3 linked regions of the Macaca fascicularis genome follow. Each later gene encodes a partner of the first gene's protein in a complex. Links are inferred from orthologs where the notes say so. Each region holds a gene or a part of one and is shown on either strand. Other genes may lie near its edges.

Evidence for each region.
Region 2: the proteins of ITCH (region 1) and ARHGEF7 are in contact, whole or in part, in a crystal structure (PDB 5SXP), measured with the Homo sapiens proteins. The link is inferred for Macaca fascicularis from reciprocal best matches to the Homo sapiens genes ITCH and ARHGEF7. Residues at the interface, in NP_001244066.1 of Homo sapiens: Arg252, Pro253, Pro254, Arg255, Pro256, Arg258, Pro259, Pro260, Pro261, Pro262, Thr263, Pro264, Arg266; in NP_001106983.1 of Homo sapiens: Phe193, Phe195, Thr198, Asp201, Glu202, Arg215, Glu217, Glu218, Gly219, Gly220, Trp221, Glu223, Thr230, Trp232, Pro234, Asn236, Tyr237.
Region 3: the proteins of ITCH (region 1) and TXNIP are in contact, whole or in part, in a crystal structure (PDB 5CQ2), measured with the Homo sapiens proteins. The link is inferred for Macaca fascicularis from reciprocal best matches to the Homo sapiens genes ITCH and TXNIP. Residues at the interface, in NP_001244066.1 of Homo sapiens: Glu485, Arg487, Thr489, Tyr495, Val497, Asp498, His499, Arg502, Thr503, Thr504, Thr505, Tyr506, Leu516; in NP_006463.3 of Homo sapiens: Pro328, Glu329, Ala330, Pro331, Pro332, Cys333, Tyr334, Val337, Ile338.

Annotation. Positions count from the first base shown.
Region 1 is NC_088384.1:90,408,487-90,415,795, reverse strand, and holds the start of ITCH (E3 ubiquitin-protein ligase Itchy homolog), read right to left. Parts: upstream 3,914-7,309; 5' UTR 3,837-3,913; intron 1-3,836. UniProt on the Homo sapiens protein: Acts as an Acts as an E3 ubiquitin-protein ligase which accepts ubiquitin from an E2 ubiquitin-conjugating enzyme in the form of a thioester and then directly transfers the ubiquitin to targeted substrates.
Region 2 is NC_088391.1:101,802,425-101,809,049, forward strand, and holds part of ARHGEF7 (rho guanine nucleotide exchange factor 7), read left to right. Parts: intron 1-751; coding exon 752-920; intron 921-1,021; coding exon 1,022-1,161; intron 1,162-3,581; coding exon 3,582-3,806; intron 3,807-4,435; exon of another isoform or gene 4,436-4,558; intron 4,559-4,849; exon of another isoform or gene 4,850-5,327; intron 5,328-5,750; exon of another isoform or gene 5,751-5,864; intron 5,865-6,594; coding exon 6,595-6,625. UniProt on the Homo sapiens protein: Acts as a RAC1 guanine nucleotide exchange factor (GEF) and can induce membrane ruffling. Functions in cell migration, attachment and cell spreading. Promotes targeting of RAC1 to focal adhesions. May function as a positive regulator of apoptosis.
Region 3 is NC_088375.1:113,420,695-113,428,083, forward strand, and holds TXNIP (thioredoxin-interacting protein), read left to right. Parts: upstream 1-2,830; 5' UTR 2,831-3,145; coding exon 3,146-3,395; intron 3,396-3,944; coding exon 3,945-4,017; intron 4,018-4,130; coding exon 4,131-4,278; intron 4,279-4,390; coding exon 4,391-4,493; intron 4,494-4,625; coding exon 4,626-4,882; intron 4,883-4,991; coding exon 4,992-5,148; intron 5,149-5,261; coding exon 5,262-5,413; intron 5,414-5,543; coding exon 5,544-5,579; 3' UTR 5,580-7,012; downstream 7,013-7,389. UniProt on the Homo sapiens protein: May act as an oxidative stress mediator by inhibiting thioredoxin activity or by limiting its bioavailability.

The sequences.
Region 1 (7,309 bases):
ACCTGTAATCTCAACACTTTAGGAGGCCAAGGTGGGAGGACCACTTGAACACAGGAGTTCAAGACCAGCCTGGGCAACGTAAAGAGAACCTGTCTCTATAAAAAAAAAATCTTTAATTAGCCAGGCGTGCTGATGCATGCCTGTTGTCCCGGCTACTCAGGGAGGCTGGGGTGGGAAGATCACTTGAGCTCTGGAGGTACTACTGCCACTGTACTCCATCCTGGGTGACTGGGTGAGACCCAGTCTCAACAACAACAAAAAATAACTTTTCATATACTTGCTTCCTTTAACCTTTCTGACCTTGTGTTTCAAAATGCTCTCCTTCCCCATTCCACTCCCTACTCCCTGAATCATTTTTGTTCCACAATCCTCTGAATTTACACACAGCATTAAGGCCTTCACTCAGCCTACCCTGTCCTTCTCTCTTCCCTCCACCCCCACCGCCCCCACACCCCCACCGCCCCCCACTGCTTTTCACATTCCTACTCTTCATCTAAGACCCAATGAGGGTTCAGGGGCAAATCCTGCCTCTTCTAACCAATCCTCCACCCAGCCACACACACAGAATTGGCCACTTCCTCTTCCGTCTCAAAGTTTTTTGACCTTTCCTTGATAAGTCTAGAGTACCATCTGCCCTCAGTGGTTCCCAAGACCATCAGAATTACCTAAGGCATGTGTTAAAAATAAATTGGTTGGAGCCAACCCAGACCTACTAAATCCATCTCAGAAGGTGAGACCGTGGAATTTCTACGCTCTTCTAATTATTCTAATGGTCAAATTTGGGGACTACTGGTTTGTCTGTCTCTCCTAATAGGTGAAAAGACGTATTTTTTAGGGCCAGGCAAGGCGGCTCATGCCTGTAATCCCAGCACTTTGGGAGGCCGAGGCAGGTAGATCACGAGGTCAGGAGTTAGAGACCAGCCTAACCAATATGGTGAAAGTCCATCTCTACTAAAAAACAAAAAAAAAATTAGCCGGGGGGGGGGGTAGCACGTGCCTGCAGTCCCAGCTACTAGGGAGGCTGAGGCAAAAGAATTGCTGGAACCCAGGAGGCGGAGGTTGCAGTGAACCGAGATCACACCACTGTACTCCAGCCTGGGTGACAAAGCTAGACTCCATCTCAAATTAAAAAAAAAAAAAAAAAAAAAGGCCGGGCGCGGTGGCTCAAGCCTGTAATCCCAGCACTTTGGGAGGCCGAGGCGGATGGATCACGAGGTCAGGAGATCGAGACTATCCTGGCTAACATGGTGAAACCCCGTCTCTACTAAAAATACAAAAAACTAGCCGGGCGTGGTGGCAGGTGCCTGTAGTCTCAGCTACTTGGGAGGCTGAGGCGGGAGAATGGCGTGAACCCGGGAGGCGGAGCTTGCAGTGAGCCGAGATCACGCCACTGCACTCCAGCCTGGGAGACACAGCGAGACTCCGTCTCAAAAAAAAAAAAAAAAAAGACGTATTTTTTAAAAAAGAATGTAGAAATGTTTGATTCTAGAATACACTGAAGTAGTCTGTACTCATTTTTGTAATTTCATATCATATCCTTGGTGACTTGACTTGTATGCTGAATATAAGGGAATTCCTTTTGGACTCACAAAACTTAAACACATTCACGGTTCAAAGAAGCAGTAGAATTTCCACCTTCATTTCCATTTTTTTTTTTCTTTCTTGAGACAGGATCTCAATCTGTCACCCAAGGCTGGAGTGCAGTGGCACAGTAACAGCTCACCATTGCCTCCACCCCCAGGACTCAGGTGATTCCCCCACCTCAGCCTCCTGAGTATCTGGGACCACAGGCACCCACCACCACACCCAGCTAATCTTTGTATTTTTTGTAGAGACGGGGTTTCACTATGTTGCCCAGGCTGATCTCCAATTCCTGGGCTCAAGAGATCTGCCGGCCTGGGCCTCCCAAAAGTGCTGGGATTACAGGCGTGAGCCACCACGCCCATCCCATTGTTTTTTTTTTTTTTTTTTTTTTTCGGAGTCTCACTCCGACACCACTGACACCCAGGCTGGAGCGCAGCAACCAGATTTGGGCTCACTGCAGCCTCCACCTCCTGGGCTGAAGCCATTCTCTTGCCTCAGCCTCCCTAGTAGCTAGGACTACAGGTACCTGCCACCACGCCCAGCTAATTTGTGTGTGTGTGTTTTTAGTAGAGACAGGGTTTCACCATGTTGACCAGGATGGTCTCGAACTTCTGACCTCGTGATCTGCCCGCCTCGGCCTCCCAAAGTGCTGGGATTACAGGCGTCAGCCACAGCACCCGGCCCATTTCTTAATTTTAAAAATAAATTATAGCTTAAATAAACCTGTAAAGGCCGGGCGCGGTGGCTCAAGCTTGTAATCCCAGCACTTTGGGAGGCCGAGACGGGTGTATCACAAGGTCAGGAGATCGAGACCATCCTGGCTAACACGGTGAAACCCCGTCTCTACTAAAATACAAAAAAAAAAAAATTAGCCGGGCGAGGTGGCGGGCGCCTGTACTCCCAGCTACTTGGGAGGCTGAGGCAGGAGAATGGCGTGAACCCGGGAGGCGGGGCTTGCAGTGAGCTGAGATCCGGCCACTGCACTCCAGCCTGGGCGACAGAGCGAGACTCCGCCTCAAAAAAAAAAAAAAAAAAAAAAACCTGTAAAATACACACAGCAAGCTCTCACCATATCTGCCATGAGAACTTCACCTGAACTGATAAATAACTCCTTAGCCGATTTTGAGAATGGAAATACACTGCCTTTACATACTTCCTGAAGATCGAATTATATTAGGAAAAGATGCAGGAGAACCCAACTAAGTGCAATGATAGGTGGCTGGCTCCAGGGTCTTACTAATTTTCAAGGCAAAAATCTCACACTTCCCCATCCCCCACTCCAAACCAAGTATATCGCAGATGTGGAAGAACGGCAGAAAATGTAGTAAGATTAGGATACGAATACAACCAAGAAAACAAGGTTGCGTTGTTATTGGGGATAATGAATTCCTGGCCCTTTACAAGTTCACCTGGTTACATGTCCAACTAACTTTAGGCCCAGCGTCTACTTGGGCGCACAAATCCTGCGATTCTCTCTTTTAAGTCGCGGCCCGGAACTGTCTTGGAAAACTTGAGTTATCCACTTAAAAGTCATGTCATCACGTTTCGACCCTTAGAATACGTTCAACGGCTCTTTTTACTTTTCTCTGCTAAGGAAAAGGGCACTCTCCGGAGGAAGGGCAGTGACAGCTCCACGTCTGCAAAAGTCGGCGCCGCCACGACGGTGGCGGGCGTCGGGGAGGGTGCCGGGGCCGGGACCACCATGCCGGGGGACAATGGAAGGAGGAGGGGAGTGGGAGAGAGAAGTGGAGGTAGCCGCTGGGCTGGGCCCTTCTAGCGACTGGGGGCTCGGAAGTCTCGGGAAGGACAGCTGGGTAACGGGGGACCCGGCCGACGCCCCTCACAGGGCCACGTAGCCCGCGCCGGCCCGGGCCGCCGGGCCCCGCGCGTAGGCCGAACCGCTGGAGAGTGGCCCCAGGCGGGGATGAGGGGCGAGGGGCCGGACCGTACCCACGCCCGTCGTGGCCCAGCCCTTTCACAACTTGGAGCCCGCGAGGCGAAGGCCTCGGGAGCCTGTGCCAGGCATTGATCCCTCCGAACGTCCAGATAACCCACCCCCACCGCCCGGCCCGGGCCAGTAGCCCGAGCTCCCCGCGCCCCCCACAGACACCGGCTCTGGGAGACAGAGCAGCCGCGGCTCTGGGGTCCCGACCCGCGCGTCCCACTCCTCTACCCTAGTTCTCCCCCAACATTCTCATCCGGACTCCCTCCCTCTCCCGAGAACTGCCCCGAGCTCGCCCACGGGTGTTTACCGGGACTCCGGGCGGCGGCGACTCCTCAGTCCCTAGACTAAGATGGCAGCCGGTCCCGAGCCCCGACCACAGCTACCAGAGCGAGTTAGCAGCCAAAGCGCAGGCGCCTGAGCGCGGGAGTGGTCTGGACTACAAGCCCCAGCAGGCCTTGCCCGCCAGCCGTTCGGCCCGCCCCTGGCTTGAAGAGCCGGCTGCGGTGGTAAATCCAGTTAAATCCCAGTTTTCCTCACCTCCGGGTGAGACGGGAGCGAGCGGCTCATTCTTTTTTCTTTCTTTTTTTTTTTTTTTTTAACACCCCGCCCACCGGAGCCTATAAGGACTGTGATTCTCAAACTATGGTGTGCATCAGAATCACCTAGAGAGCTTATTAAAACTTACAGTGCTGACCCCCACCCCCAGAGTTTCTGATCAGAAGATCTGGCATAGGAGGATAGGGTCTGATAATCTGCATGTCTAACAAGCTCTCTAGTGATACTACTAGTGAGTGAAATAATAATTTGAGAACCACTGTGCTACACAGCTTAGTTTATAACTTAGTTGTTCTTTTTTCTTTTTCTTTTCCTTTTCTTTTTTTTTTTTTTCTTCTTTTTGAGATAAGGTCTCACTCTGTCAACCACGCTGGAGTGCAGTGGTGCAGTCATAGCTCACTAGAGCCTCACACTCCTGGGCTCAAGCAAGTCTCCTACCTCAGCCTCCTGAGTAGCTAGGACAACAGGTGAGCACCACCACACCAGAGTAATTTTTGTCTATTCTTTGTAGAGATGGGGATGGGGTGGGGTCCGGATGGGATGGGGCAGGGACAGGGCCACAGTCTCGCCATGTTGCCCAGGCTGGTCTCAAACTCCTGGGCTCAAGAGATACTGCCTCCTCAGGCCCCCTAATCGCTGAGATTATAGATGTGAGCCACTGCACCTGGCCTGGTTTAGCCTTTAACAATGTACATTAAAGGCTGTGGTTAAAAAGAAAATAAAAGAAAAAAATGTACACTTGAGAGTTACACTGACTGGGTTCAAATTCTCCCTTTTCTACCTTTTAACTGGGTGTGCTTAGGAATGGTGATAACAGCTTAGTGGAGCCAACATGGCCGGTATTCTAAGAGCTGATACCAAGCTCTCTTTATTCTCACGAGAAACCTATTCCAGAAATACCGTTATTATCCCCATTTTACAAATGTACAAACTAAGTCACATGCTTGATAAGAACCCAGGCAGTCTGGTGTGAAAGTCCATTCTCTTAACCTTCTTCATGGATTGCTTGAGAAATAATAGGCTATGCAAGCAGAGACTCAGAGGTATGACTAAGTACTCATTTCTTAGTGACCTTTGCTATTACTGTTTCCGCCTAATGAAAATAGTATTTTGCCATCTGGAAAGTCACTTACATTTTTCAAAGTATCTTTTTTTTTTTTTTTTTTTTTGAGACAGCGTCCTGCTCTGTCACCCAACCTGGAGTGCAGTGGTGCAATCATAGCTCACTGCAGCTGACGTCCTGGGCTCAAGTGATCCTCCCACCTCAGCTTCCTGAGTAGCTGGGACTCCAGGCTCAAGCCACTACACCAGGCTAATTTTTTAAATTTTTGTAGAGACGTGGACTCCCTGTGTTGCCCAGGCTGTTCTCAAACTTCTAGGCTTGGCCAGGCTCGGTGGCTTACACCTGTAATCCCAGCAGTTCGGGAGGCCAAGGCAGGCGAATCACTTGAGGTCAAGAGTTCAATACCAGCCTGGCTAACATGGTGAAAACCCATCTCTACTAAAAATACAAAAATTAGCCGGGCGTGGTGGTGGGTGCCTGTAATCCCAGCTACTCGGGAGGCCGAGGCAGAGAATTGCTTGGACCCAGGAGGCAGAGGTTGCAGTGAGCCACGATCACGCCACTGAACTCCATCCTGGGCCACAGAGCGAGATTCTGTCTCAAAAAAAAAAAAAATCAAAAATTAGTTGGGCATGGTGGCACACCCCTGTAATCTCAGCTACTCAGGAGGCTGAGGTGGGAGAATTGCTTGAACTCAGGAGACGAGACTGCGGTGAGCCAAGATCGTACCACTGTACTCCAGCCTGAGTGACAGAGTGAAACCCCATCTAAAAAAACACAAAAACCAAACTCCTAGGTTCAAGCCTTCAAGCCTCAAGCAAAGTACTTTCAAAACCACTTCATGTTTCCTGCAACATGTCTTAGGAAAGATTGCTAAAATACCGATTCCTGCGCCCCTATCCTCATTCAGATTCTCTAGTGCAGTGATTTTCAAACCTCAGTACTTATTAGAATTGCCTGCAAGGTTAGTTAAATCATAGATTGCTGAGGCCACTCCCAGAGTTTCTGATTCAGTAGGTCTGGGTGGGGCCTGAGAATTTGCTTTTTTTTTTTTTTTTTGGATACTGAGTCTCACTCTGTCACCCAGGCTGGAGTGCAGTGGCCCAACTTCCGCTCACTGCCACCTCTGCTTCCCAGGTTCAAGAGATTCTCCTGCCTCAGCCTCCCAAGCAGCTGGGATTACAGGTGCATGCCACCATGACTGACTAATTTTTGTATTTTTGTAGGGATACAGTTTCCCCATGTTGGCCAGGCTGGTCTCGAATTCCTGACCTCAAGTGATCCGCCTGCCTTGGCCTCCCAAAGTGCTGGAATTACAGGCTTGAGCCACCGTGCCTGGCAGAATTTGCATTTCCCCTTCCCCTTCCCCTTCCCCTTCCCCTTCCCCTTCCTCTTCCCCTTCCCCTTCCCCTTCCTCTTCCCCTTCCCCTTCCCCTTCCCTTCCTAGACAGAGTTTCACTCTTGTTGCCCAGGCTGGAGTGCAATGGCATGATCTTGGCTCACCACAACCTCTGCCTCCTGGATTCAAGCGATTCTCCTGCCTCAGCCTCCCGAGTAGCTGGGATTACAGGCATGAACCACCATGCCTGGCTAATTTTGTATTTTTAGTAGAGACACCATGTTAGCCAGGATGGTCTCAATCTCCTGACCTTGTGATCTGCCCGCCTCGGCCTCCCAAAGTGCTGGGATTATAGGGGTGAGCCACTGCACCTGGCCAGTACGAGGTATTTTTATGACCATTATACAGAGAAGAAAACTGAGTGTGACAGAAATTAAATGGCTTGTTCAAGATCACTCAGCCAGGAACCAGGGATCTAACCCTAAGTCTTCTAGCTCCAGATTCTGTATTCACCTACACTTTTAAAAACTATATAAGGTTAGGCAAAACTAGTCTATGGTGTTAGAAGTCAGGATACTGGTTACGCTTTGAGGGGACGGAATACTTGGAAGAAGGCACAAAGACACCTCTCAGAATGGGTGATAATATTCTGTGTCCTGATCTGAGTAGTGTTACTGTTTCAGGAAAAGGGTCCTGATTCAGACCCCAAGAGAGGGTTCTTGGATCTCGTGCAAGAAAGAATTTGGGGCGAGTCCATACAATAAAGTGAAAACAAGTTATTTATTTATTTATTTATTATGATGATTATTATTTTTTCAGACAG
Region 2 (6,625 bases), on another chromosome or scaffold:
GCTCCCCAGGCAGCACGACCCAGATGCCACTGCCTCTTCCTGAGGACTTGGTGGGCCACCGTGTACTGTAGTTTCTGTCAGCTGCGCCAGACTGTTTTGTGTTCACTTCTGATTTGTTTGTAATGATCACTTTGTACCCCGTTTCTGGTATCTTTTCCATTGACATTTCCTGTTGCAGTTACTGATTTCTTCCATTTTCAGGGAGCATTGGTTTGCCAACCATTTTCTGCATTGTGTGCAGCATTTAGCACAACTACTTATTTTCTGTTTGGTGGATTATAAAGTAGAATGTTAGGCAATTCTTGTTCTTGCCTCAATTTCCCACCCTTATTTTGACTTTAAACTTGGAGCTTCCTCTGTATTTCTTTATGAGGCAAATACATGCTGCTTTTCTGCAAAAACATCGTTTAAAACAACTGTTACACGTGGTAGTTTTTAAAAAATCATAATGTGAGATTTTTTGTCCTGGTGTCTGTTTAGTAGCAGCTCATCAGATGCAGTGTGTGTTTGGGCTTGTCAGTCTGTCCCTTGTCGCCAGTTGAGTTTCTTGCTTACAGTATAGTATTAATATGATTTATTATTTGAGATAAAGATTTTTGTATTATACATGCATCTGCTACAAACGAACTCTTTTTGGTTCACAAACACAGTTCCTCCACCAATTCTAAAATCATTTAATATTACTTTAATAATGGTACCTTTTTCTAGAAAAGCACTAATTGTTTTTTTTTTGTGGGGGGGTCTTTTTTAGGGAAAGCTTCCAACGACAGGAATGACAATCACAAAGCTTGAGGACAGTGAAAACCATAGAAATGCATTTGAAATATCAGGTGATAGGCACAAGCTGTGTGAGTGCCGTGTCTCGGGGAGGAGAGGCAGCTTGTCCCCGCGTGCAGATTCTTGCTTGCATATTTCAGAAGGTGGTGTTTAAGCGTTGAGTGGAATTCTGGGGGCTGTGTGTGCATGCACGCGCTTTTTACCTGTGTTTCCACTCGGCCTATTTTTTCCTTCTCTCCTCTAGGGAGCATGATCGAGCGGATATTAGTGTCATGCAACAACCAGCAGGATCTGCAGGAATGGGTGGACCACCTACAGAAGCAAACGAAGGTCACATCTGTGGGAAACCCCACCATAAAGCCTCATTCGGTGCCGTCTCATACCGTAAGGACCTGGCGCTTCTTCTCCTTCCAGACTCCAGGCGTGGCATCCCGTGGCTGAGCTGTCAGCAAGTGATCACGTGCTTTAAAACCTGATCAATATTGGGATAAAAATGCAAACGCTTGCTTGATATTTCTCTGAAAATATTTGGCCCTCTTTGTGCAGTAGTGAATTGTTTTCCAATGAGTGTTCTCGAGAAACAACCCTGAATTGTGCCTCCTCACGCACAATTCAGAGGTGCTTGGGTGGGAAGCTGCTTTTGCTCAGCGTGGCCTTAGAAGACTAATTTAGGGGAGTTTTACACTAAACTATAGATGATTTTTCTGAGAATTTTAACTGTTTATTATGCTTCATTTAAGAAAACGAAAATAAATGATTATGATGATGAAAAGGGCCAGATTCATGTTGAAGGCATTAAAATAGAGTTTATGACACACTGTTGATTTTAAGAAATTGAGGTGTCTTTTACTTAGAAAAGCTCAGCAACTCTTTGAATTTTTAGAGAATTACAACTTTTCAAAATAGATGAACACTGAATTCGGTTGCAGTGTTTAAACCTCTCCTGGTGTTTTTTGCTCAAGAAGTTGGTATCGGGTTGTTTTAACAGTCGTCATCTTTATCAAGTAATACCGAAAAACTGGGCAGAGCTTTTAAAGAATGAGTGGCGATGACACGGCATTTTCAGCTTGCAGATTCCCTCACATCCTTACTAGGTTATTAGGATCAGTTCTGTCGTGTGCTCAGTTTTCATGTTTTCTTCTTCATGGGAAGGTTGTAGATCAAGAAGGATTGCTGTATTCTGATATTCTCATCAGTTTCAGAGTCCATCTGATTTCTCTCAGCAGTGTGCAGATAACTACTCATTGGCTTTTAGCTAGCATTTCATCTTTAATGGCTCTGCCGTTTTAAAATTCTCCATTCTTTCGTGGAGATCAGTTTATCCCAGCGACATGTGTACACGTGTGTTTATAAAGAACAGTGGATGAGCTGCTTCACTCAGATTTTCAACAGCAGCCTGAAACTCTACTTCATACAATTTTACATCAAGTCAGCTTTTCTCTGCGGCCAGACCCTCCGTCTTAGTGTTTCTTTCACTGGTGGCGGGGAAGGCACTGTGCCTCATGTTTAAAATGTTCTGCGTTCTCCTACAGAGTTTCTTTTGTGGGATGATGTATTCTCCTGTGATCTAACTCTGTCCAACTGAAGTCATATTCTAATTTTAGCATAAAGCATACTTCCTTTGACTTTCTCAAGAAAGGAGAAACAAAACCAGACACTACTTAACTCTGACGTTGTTGCTAGGAGGGATGTCTTACATAATTTTCTCCATCTATACATTATTTCCTATGAAAAGATGACGTTACGGTGGCTTCATAGCATGACCTGTATCTCACACGATTCCCTCCCCCATGCAGGGACTAGAATGTGATCATTGCAGAAAGTTGATGGCGTCTGTTCTTGAAATTGTGGCATTAGCTGCTGTGGGGCCTTCCCTCTCAGCCTGTTTTGAAGGTCGTGTACTTCAGAATGCCGACCCCACTCAGGTTTCCAGTTCACAGCGCCACACAGCTTGTTCTCCCATTAAACGCGCCTTACTATTGTTGGCTAATTTGAAGTCATTGTTGGCTGATTTTGAGACTTACTTAACTTTTCTCATTTAACTGTCATTGTGATGGGATATTTCGGGTTTCCCAGGAATATAAAATTCATTAATGACATACCTCCTCTAAGAAGTTAATTTTCAATTAACTTTGTTTTGATTAAAGTTGAGTTTTCTAAGAAAATAACTGATTTTATACCAGGGTTTGGCAGTGTTCTAGAAAGAGCCAGATGGTAAACATTCTCTGCTTTACAGGCTCAGGCCTCTTGCAGCTGTACTCTGCCCTTGTAACACAGCAGCAGCTTTAGACAGGCACGGGCCTGCTTGTGTGCCAGGAAAACTTTTTTAAAAAACAAAACTAGGCGATTGGGCCTTAGTTTCACCCAGTACTTCATCACCAGGTGAAGAATAATACGTGACCGGGGGGAATCACCTTCCTTCTTACAGCCACATGCCCTGTGTGCTTTTGTGAAATTCTCATCTTTTTACTAGATAAAGTACCTTTTTTTCTGTTAATGTTACTCCGTAGCTAATAAATGTGGCTAGTGGATGTCCGAGTGCTGGGGCGCCAGCTAGAGCTGCCCCTCCCGTCTGGGGCAGACACCGTGGGGGGGTCCCATGCTCAGCCCAGGTGGCGCGAGCTGGTGCTTGGCCCCAAAAACTACTGAGAGCCAGAGATTCGAACGAAATGATAAATGATAAATCCTGGGGTTTATTTCACATGGAGTGTTTAAAGAGCGGAAGGAAGTGCGTGATAGTGCCCTTTCACGGTGAGCATGCAAGTCTCACGTTCTCTGCCCTTCCCGCTCTGTGCCCTCGGCAGCTGCCCTCCCACCCGGTCACTCCGTCCAGCAAGCACGCAGACAGCAAGCCCGCGCCGCTGACGCCCGCCTACCACACGCTCCCCCACCCCTCCCACCACGGCACCCCGCACACCACCATCAACTGGGGACCCCTGGAGCCTCCGAAAACACCCAAGCCCTGGAGCCTGAGCTGCCTGCGGCCCGCGCCTCCCCTCCGGCCCTCCGCTGCCCTCTGCTACAAGGAGGTGAGGTCCCTTGACCACTCAAACAGCCAGACGCCGGTGAGCATGCCTTGGGCCCCGAGTGTGCCGGGCTGGTCCCTCTGTACGCAGCAAAATGCACCCTAACTGCTAGAGAACTGAGAAGGGGTCTGCCTTGGTTCTTCGGTTATCTCCGCTGCTGCTGAGAGGCCTGTGGTAACCCTGTGTGGGAAGGGGATGTGCAGATGTGCAGGGCCCCTCCTGTCTGTGCCATGCAGAGGGGGCCTTTACTGTGCTTGCCGGAGGAATGTGCCGCCGGGGGCCAGGAGCTGGAAAGGCGCCGAGCCCAGGTGACTTTCCCTCCCCGTGTGTGAGGCCGTCGCTCGGCGTCTGCATGCTGTCTGCTGCGTCTAACAACCCCTCCTCTAGGTCGGGGATCCTATCCAGGAGCCCTGCGTTTTGTCATCCAGAAGCCATTTGAAAGGAAGAGAACGTTTACCAATACAAATGAAAAAACACTTAGGCAGTTTCCCCCTTTGATGCATAAGAAATCATGATACAGTCTTTGCTTGTCTGTGTTTTGATCCAGCATTTTTGTATTTGCTAGGTGCAAATAAAGTACGATTCTAATGAATAAATATAAGTATTAACACTTTCTTATACTTTCCCCTAAGCCAGCTTGGATGAGGAAAGGAAGCGTCTTGAGAAATGTGTTCTGAGAAATATTTTCACCTGAGGAAGCCGATAATTGAGATGAGCGTTGTTTTCATAAGCAGTTGAGCGTGCATGGTGGTGAGGTACGAGGAGTGGCGGTGCGAGTATGGGTGGCTGCGTGCAGATACGAGGAGCGGTGCCCGCTGGTGGGGTGTGAGTGGGCGTGAGGACGGTGATGCGCTCTTGCCTGGCGTCGCGCCTCTGTGTCTGGTCAAGGCCACATTTGCCAAGGGAACTGGAGCAGACTTTTTCTACGCTCTTGCCAGCAGCCCTGAGGGTTTTAAGGCCCATAGGAAAGTACTGTGTAAGAAATTAGGATCTATGCTTTTCATTTTTTGGTCTTACTGAGTCTTTGTTTTTATGATATCTTTCAGGTAATCATGTGTGCAAGTCAGAATTCTCATTTTCTGTCATGGGAAGTTACTTGAAGAATGTTGGTGTTCCTTATTGTATACTTTAGTGTGCACAGTCTAAAGAAAAAGTGAGCTACTGCAAGAACTGGTGGAGACTGAATTACTAGGGAAGAAAACGGGGATAAAACTGTTGGGAAAAGAAGTAGAAAGGGCAAGGGAAGAGGCATTGAAATGAAGATAAACAATTTGATTTTGATAATCTGGCTGCAGTTGCTTTGCCCACTCCACACTGGGAGAGAAGGGCTCACGCCGAGCAGCTGCTGTCCAGTGTTGCTGAGTGCCACACAGCATTAGCGTGGAGAGTGGTCCTGCAGAGTACGAGAAGAGGGCGTGGCGGCTCGTGGAGGCCGCTCTGCAGCCTGCTCTGCCTGGCTCTGGTCGTCGGGTGTGCTGTGTGCCTCATGACCCTCTGTGCCCGCAGGTGCACTCGGAGCACATGGTGGGTGGGCATTGGCTCTTCAAGGCTCTCCATCTCAATTTGCTTTGAATTAGGGAAGCCAGGGAGCACATGTGTATAAATGTGTCTTCTGGAACAGATTGCTACTGCATTTCTAAGAGCTTTACAATTTTTATAGAAAGATTTTTATTTAACTTTTTAAATGTTACTTTAGATTGAAAGTTTGTTACATGGCTGTATTGGGTGATGCTGGGGTTTGGGCTTCTAGGGTACCTATTACCCAAATAGGAAACACTGTACCCAATGGGTAGTTTTTCAAAACTTGCGCCCATCACCCTCCCCCTTTTGGAGTCCCCAGGGTCTGCCATTTCCATGGTCATGTCCATGTGTACCCATGGTTTAGCTCCCAAGAAAAGACTTTTAAAGATAACTTTAAAAACCAGGCTTCGTTTCCTCTGTTTCCAGCCCGGTTCATTCCGTAGCGCATCTCATCTTCTGAGTCTTGGCTTCGCCTGTTAACGTTCGCGATGGTTTATGTCACTGGCGTGGTGCAGAAACCAGCCTTTTTTTTGATATCGGTATTTAACACGTGCTTGATAGTTGACACCTTACCTGCTCTGTTGGACTTGCTTTGCTCACTTTGTATTTTGCTGTCGTCTTCTGTGCTTGTTTGAGAAGCTGTTTGAAGAGGTAAGGGGTGGGCAGTTCCGTTGTGAACTCGCCTCTGAGCTAGTGTGCGTGTGGCCCCTGCAGAACAGCCCCGGCTGAGCTTGGCTGTGCTCCTGGCACTCAGAGTCGGGTAGCTGAGCACTCGCTCCCTTTTCTTCTCCCTGAGACTTTAAATAGTTTCTTAAAGCGATTATTTTTTACTTATCTGTCATTTAATGATGACCTTAGTTTCCTCTCGTCTTTCCAGTTAGCTGTACCGGGGGGTGGGTCTGCCCCCGGGAGCCACTGCTGCCTCCTCCCCTCCTCCCTCAGGAGTGTGCAGGATGTCTGTGCACACCAGCGCCAGCCTGCCTCCTGGGGACACCTCTCATCACCGAACTAACAGGACCCAAATGGCATGAGGGGTTTTATCAGAGTGAAGAAAAAATATTAGCCAATGACTAATACTGAGAATGCCCTATTGATTTTAAAATTAACGTTCAGAAGCTGGTAAAGAAAAATCAAAATAGGAAAAAGCGAGCAGCTCTTATCAGTGGCTATAATAATTTGGGGTTTTATACCTTTACAGCAGCCTTTCTGATACGCCAGTGAAAATGATTGGCTTTAGAGTATGTTAACATTTTCTTTTCTCTTTCCCTAGGATCTTAGTAAGAGTCCCAAGACCATGAAAA
Region 3 (7,389 bases), on another chromosome or scaffold:
TGGTCTCAATCTCCTGACCTCGTGATCCACCCGTCTCGGCCTCCCAAAGTGCTGGGATTACAGGCTTGAGCCACCGCGCCCGGCCCAGTGTTCCCTTTTCTTAAGATGTCCCATATTACCACCACCCTGATCCATCACTAGCCACCATCTTTCCTATTCCCTCAAAATGTATGTAGTTAAGATTTATCAATATTTAACAATATTGACTATGTAGTTAACAATATTGATTCATATATTTGTCAGCATTTTGATGTTTGATATTTACACTTTCATACCCATCAAACTAAACGTTCTCCCAGAAGCCACAATTTAGGAACTTTTAAAATTACTGGCCGGGCGCGGTGGCTCACACCTGTAATCCCAGCACTTTGGGAGGCCAAGGTGGGTGGATCACGAGGTCAGGAGTCGAGACCATCCTGGCTAACACGGTGAAACCCCGTCTCTACTAAAAATGCAAAAAATTAGCCGGGCATGGTGGCAGGTGCCTGTAGTCCCAGCTACTTGGGAGGCTGAGGCAGGAGAATGGCATGAACCCGGGAGGCGGAGCTTGCAGTGAGCTGAAATCGCACCAGTGCACTCCAGCCTGGGAGACAGCGGGACTCTAAAAAAAAGAAAAATTACTTCAGTCAGGCCGGGCACGGTGGCTCACGCCTGTAATCCCAGCACTTTGGGAGGCCACGGTGGGTAGGATCACTTGAGATCAGGAGTTCAAGACCATCTTGGGCAACATGGTGAAACCCCGTCTCTACTAAAAATACAAAAATTAGCTGGGTGTGGTGGCACATGCCTGTAATCCCAAGTACTTGGGAGGCTGAGGAGGAAAGTCGCTCAAACCCAGGAGGCGGAGGTTGCAGTGAGCCAAGATGGGGCTACTGCACTGCAGCCTAGGCAACAGAGTGAGATTCTATCTTTAAAAAAATTACTTCAGAGTCCCACCTCCTCTGCTCCCAGTAACTCAATCAATATTGTTAACCAACTGAAAACACCTCAAGCCTAGTTTCTTAAGCTTCTAGAACAGGGTGCTGCCTCAAACACGCCCTAAGGATAAACAAGTTCCTGGGGTTTAATGCGTGTGTGTGTGTGTGTGTGTGTGTGTGTGTGTTTTCCAAGAGACTCATGATGCCTATTCTTGAGCTTGTTTAATATTGGGGTTGAGTTGTAACTTGTTAGCCTTGGGGTGTCAATCCAGCTAGGGTGTCTGAGGAAGGAAGAAGTCTCCTTAACAGCAATGAATAGGTTTCTTTTTTGCTGACTGGGTAGGGTTTCAATATACTTGAATGCTTCTTAGTTACTTCCCCATCTCAATCTTGGGACATTATCTTCCTTTCCAGCCCAAGGAATGAGATGATAATCTTCTGATACCCCAGCACAGATATGGGAAGGGTCTATGAATCAAAGAAAAGGGGGAAGAATCCCTGCACTTCTGCATACAGGTTTTTCTTATTACATTTAAGAGTAAGTTCTCAGTACTCAGCTCCTAAAGCATCTCACAGCCAGCAGGGGAAAATCCATCTGACAGCTGGCCAAACGAAACCAGCAAAGAATGAAACCAACAAAGGGAGGGTAGGGTCTCTTCTGGCTTGAATTTATAGTGCTCTAGTGACCGATCTTTCTTCTCTTTTCCTTCTTACTGTTTTCTAAACCGTTTAGGGAAAAACCTTTGAAAATATTTTTTAAAATTGTTCCTTCAAACAGGTGTATGGCCATCTCTCCACTGGAAATTTGGATATAAACAAGAGGACTTTCTTGCTTTTAACCAGATTTATGGATGTATATTTGATTTAGTGAGTTGGGAGAGGGGAGGGAGACAAGAAAGAGTGAACATAACTCTGGAAGAAAGTGAAAAAAGTGAAGCATCCTTGTTCCCCCCCCCCTTCCTTTTCCTCCAGAAGCAGGTAGGGAGTGCGAGATTATCAGCGCCTGGACACACCTCACTAAAGAGGTAATGAGGTAAATGGGAAACACAGACAAAGTGTTCCCCAACTTTGCAGGCAGAAATTGAAGAGATAACAGGATAAGCAACAGGATGTAAACACGCCTGTCCTATTTCCGTGCCAGAGAACAGAGAGAACAGAAGAGAGGGTACAAGGGGCGGGGGGTGACGAACAGCACACGCACGCAGCCCCCAGCCCTAGCCCCAAGGGATTGGAACGGGAAGTAGAAGACATCAGTCCTACAGCCGCAATGAGGCCTGAAAGTTCTCCTTTCCCTCAGAGATGGTGGTGTTTTTTTACATTTAATAGGGATGCGGGGCAAGAGAAGGACAAAGGGGCTGTTCCTTAACAGTAACACCAAGCATTCTGCGCTCCACGGCCCCAAACCTAAAAGTATTCTTGGAGCTATGGGATTTTCACACACTTGCTATTTACGAGCCACGAATAAACGACAGACTATAAAGTAATTGCACTGGCTAAGACTAGGCACGAAATTCCCTCATAAGCACATTTTCTTTTTACCTCAAACCACCGCTCTCAGACCAGAAACGTCCACACCCGCCCTCCGATGGCCTGTCGCCCTGGCTAGGTTTTAGGGTCAGTGGTATCCTCCTTCCACTAGGCCCGGGTAAAGACTCAAAAGCCCCCTCCTTCCCCTCATTCCTCTCCTTCCCCCCTCCCTGCGCCGCTCCCGAGCACAACAACCATTTTCCCCGCCAGGAGCACACCGTGTCCACGCGCCTCAGCGATCTCACTGATTGGTCGGGCTCCTGGTAAACAAGGACCGGGCAGCCAATGGGAGGGATGTGCACGAGGGCAGCACGAGCCTCCGACCCAGCGCTCGCGTGGCTCTTCTGGCCGGGGCTTCTATATAGAGCCGTTTCCGCCTGCTGCTTGAAACTAACCTCTCTTTCTCTGTCAAGAAGTGCTTGCGGAGATCGGATCTCTTCTCCAGCAATCGGGGAAAAGAAGACTTTTTCTCTGAAATCGCTTAGTGTAACCAGCGGCGTAAATTTTTTGGACGCCTTTTCGAAAACCTAGTTAAAATTCATTTGTTTAAATCTCATTTTTAAGCTCAAACTGCTTAAGAATATCTTCATTCCTTAGGAAGAGTGAAATAATTTACTGCAAAGGAATTTCCTCGATTTGGTGCATTTTTTTTTTTATTCTTCCACGGTCTTTTCTAACTCTCAAACCAACTCCGTCCCATCATGGTGATGTTCAAGAAGATCAAGTCTTTTGAGGTGGTCTTTAACGACCCTGAAAAGGTGTACGGCAGTGGTGAGAAGGTGGCTGGCCGGGTGATAGTGGAGGTGTGTGAAGTTACTCGTGTCAAAGCCGTTAGGATCCTTGCTTGCGGAGTGGCTAAAGTGCTCTGGATGCAGGGATCCCAGCAGTGCAAACAGACTTCGGAGTACCTGCGCTATGAAGACACGCTTCTTCCGGAAGACCAGCCAACAGGTAAGCGGCCCAATTCATTGTTGGAGGGTGAAAGCTGATTAGAGAAGAGAATTGAAAGGAATACACAAAACTATACGAAATGTTTTAAGTTGCTCAGTTTGAGTGGTGTGAATTGCACGTTGTTACTTCCTTTTTTCTAATTTGCAGACATTCTCCCCCCCACACCCCCCAAAAAAAAGGGTGGTTTGTACAATTTTTTATGGTGCTGTGTCCTAAAGGTGGTTCTGAGGGGCATTGCCTCGGATAGTTAAAAATCTTATGTGTGCATTAGTTGCTTATTCTTTGCCTACTTCCTGTTTGAGATGTTAGTGAAGAACTGTCCTGGGTGAATCTTTAAAAGCATTGCAGGGCAACTTGGGAACTTGCTGCCCAACAAAATACATCAGAATTTCTCTTTAAGAACAACATGGGATGATTAAAATACCTCTCTGTGGGACGAAATTAGGGGTACTTCAATACCTTGCATGCCACCCAAACATTCCTTATCACACAGATGCGTTTTAAGTGTAACAGGAAGCCTAATGGCTACTCGATTATCTTTCCCTTCAGGTGAGAATGAGATGGTGATCATGAGACCTGGAAACAAATATGAGTACAAGTTCGGCTTTGAGCTTCCCCAGGGGTAAATATCAGCTAAATGCATCTTTGAACTTTTCTGTCTAAAATATCTTGCCCTCCTTTGATCACTTACTGTTCCTTGGAGAGCATTTAAAAATTTTCATTTTCTTGACACAGGCCTCTGGGAACATCCTTCAAAGGAAAATATGGGTGTGTAGACTACTGGGTGAAGGCTTTTCTTGACCGCCCCAGCCAGCCAACTCAGGAGACAAAGAAAAACTTTGAAGTAGTGGATCTGGTGGATGTCAATACCCCTGATTTAATGGTGAGATTCATTTTAAAGATTATATTCTCCTGGGTCACAGGGATGATAAATCAGATGTCTTGGGCATTAGATTGAAGCATCTCAAAACACCTTTTTGTCCCCTTCTACATAGGCACCTGTGTCTGCTAAAAAGGAAAAGAAAGTTTCCTGCATGTTCATTCCTGATGGGCGGGTGTCTGTCTCTGCTCGAATTGACAGAAAAGGATTCTGTGAAGGTAAAATCCTAGTGCTTATGGCAGACAGATATAACAGGAACTAGGTTTAGGGGCAAGGGCATGGGACTGGGGTAGAGGAAATGTCATTAACTATACTGAGTATCAGTAAGTTTTCATTTTTCTCTTTGCTAGGTGACGAGATTTCCATCCATGCTGACTTTGAGAATACGTGTTCCCGAATTGTGGTCCCCAAAGCTGCCATTGTGGCCCGCCACACTTATCTTGCCAATGGCCAGACCAAGGTGCTGACTCAGAAGTTGTCATCAGTCAGAGGCAATCATATTATCTCAGGGACATGTGCATCATGGCGTGGAAAGAGCCTTCGGGTTCAGAAGATCAGGCCTTCTATCCTGGGCTGCAACATTCTTCGAGTTGAATATTCTTTACTGGTGAGTAGATGCAGGGTGGGTTCAGCAGAGAAATTGTTCATCTGTTACCATAACTGTCTTGTTTCACCAGAGCGCTCTGGTCTAACAAACTACCATCTTCCTTTTCTAGATCTATGTTAGCGTTCCTGGGTCCAAGAAGGTCATCCTTGACCTGCCCCTGGTAATTGGCAGCAGATCAGGTCTAAGCAGCAGAACATCCAGCATGGCCAGCCGAACCAGCTCTGAGATGAGTTGGGTAGATCTGAATATCCCTGATACCCCAGAAGGTGAGCCAGACCTAATGTCTTTTCTTCATTTCTGGTCTACCTGGGTTTGTAAAATTGTGATGGTCCAGCATTTCTTGGGCAGGCTTCTTATGTGGCCATATTTTCTTTTCTAGCTCCTCCCTGCTATATGGATATCATTCCCGAAGATCACCGATTGGAGAGCCCCACCACTCCTCTGCTAGATGACATGGATGGCGCTCAAGACAGCCCTATCTTTATGTATGCCCCTGAGTTCAAGTTCATGCCACCACCTACTTATACTGAGGTGAGAATTGTCATATTTACTGTTAAAATTTGTCCTAAGCTTTCTATAAGAAGTTGACTTAGGGGGATTGCTAAACTGGTTTGTTCTTTTAGTTCTTATCTGAACTGAAATAGTCTGTTTCTTCCTTTAGGTGGATCCGTGCATCCTCAACAACAACGTGCAGTGAACATGTGGAAGAAAAGAAGCAGCTTTACCTACTTCTTTCTTTTTGTCTCTCTTCCTGGACTCTCACTTTTTCAGAGACTCAGTAGTCTCTGCAATGGAGTGTGGATCCACCTTAGCCTCTGACTTCCCAATGCAGGAGGTGGTCAGCAGGCAATCTCCTGGGCCTTAAAGGATGCGGACTCATCCTCAGCCAGCGCCGATGTTGTGATACAGGGGTGTTTGTTGGATGGGTTTAAAAACAGCTAGAAAAACTCAGGCCCATCCATTTTCTCAGATCTCCTTGAAAATTGAGGCCTTTTCGGTAGTTTCGGGTCAGGTAAAAATGGCCTCCTGGCATGAGCTTTTCAAGGTTTCTTGGAGGCTTTGTGCAAATTGTGATAACCACTTTGGACCTTCAACTTATGTATCTATCATGTGGAAAAGAGCCAATTTAGCAAACTAGGAACATGAAAAGGGAAATTATGGCCAAAACTTTGGGAAAAGGAGGTTCTTAAAATCAGTATTCCCCTTTGTGCACTTGCAGAAAAAAAAGAAAAACCTTCTAGGGCTGATTTGATGGACATTTGGAGAGAGCTTTCTCTGTGATTATAAAAAAAGAAGCTAGCTGCTCTATGGTCGTCTTTGCTTAGAGTGTACTTTAACCTGGCTTTTAAAGCGGTAGTAACTGTGTCCCACCAAAGGTCTTAAAAGCCATTTTTGGAGCATATTGCACTGTGTTCTCCTATTGCAAATATTTTCATATGGGAGGATATTTTTCTCTTCATGCAAGTCCTTGGAATTGATTCTAAGGTGATGTTCTTAGCACTTTAGTTCCTGTCAAATTTTTTGTCCTCCCCCCTCCACCATCTTAAATGTAAGCTGAAACTCGTCTACTATGTCTCTAGGGGTAAGCCCAAAGACAAAAAGAAAAAAAAACTGTTAACTACTTTTGAGATTGCCCCAATGTACAGAATTACATAATTCTAAGACTCAAATCATGTGAAAGGGTTGCTGCTGTCAGCCTTGCCCACTGTGACTTCTCCAAACCCAAGGAGGAACTCTTGATCAAAATACCCAACACTGATCAGAACCTCCAAATACTGCCATGAGAAACTAGAGGGCAGGTCTTCACAAAAGCCCTTCGAACCCCCTTCCTGCCCTGTGTTAGGAGATAGGGATATTGGCCCCTCTCTCACTGCAGCTGCCAGCACTTGGTCAGTCACTCTCAGCCATAGCACTTTGTTCACTGTCCTGTGTCAGAGCACTGAGCTCCACCCTTTTCTGAGCGTTGCTGCAGCCAGAAAGTGTGGACTGAAGGTGGTTTCATGTTTTTGTATTATGTATCTTTTTGTATGGTAAAGACTATATTTTGTACTTCACCAGATATATTTTTACCCCAGATGGGGATATTCTTGTAAAAAATAAAAATAAAGTTTTTTTAACGGGAAAAAAAAATGTTGTCTGTGAGATGGCTTTGGAGAAGGTTTTGGAAAGAAGGTGTGCCTAAAGGAGTCTTCCTCTACTTAACAATCCACACCAGTGAAAACCTTGTGGAGAAAACACTCCCTATGGACCCTAAGGAATGGCGGCAGAGTGGGGGCTGGAGGTGAAGAGGGAAACAGTTTTGAGGCATGTTTCATTCAGATTCACTGAAGAACTATATTGGGATTTTCTGGTTGTCTAGTTTTCCAAATCCATAACTAATTATTACTAAATTCCTTCAGTTTTGGAGTTCATGAGTTCTTGAAATACAGGGAAATGATGTTTATGAGGGAATTTGAAAGAAAAGAGTAGAGGTTCCTTTTTTTTTTTTTTTTTTTTTTTTTAAGACA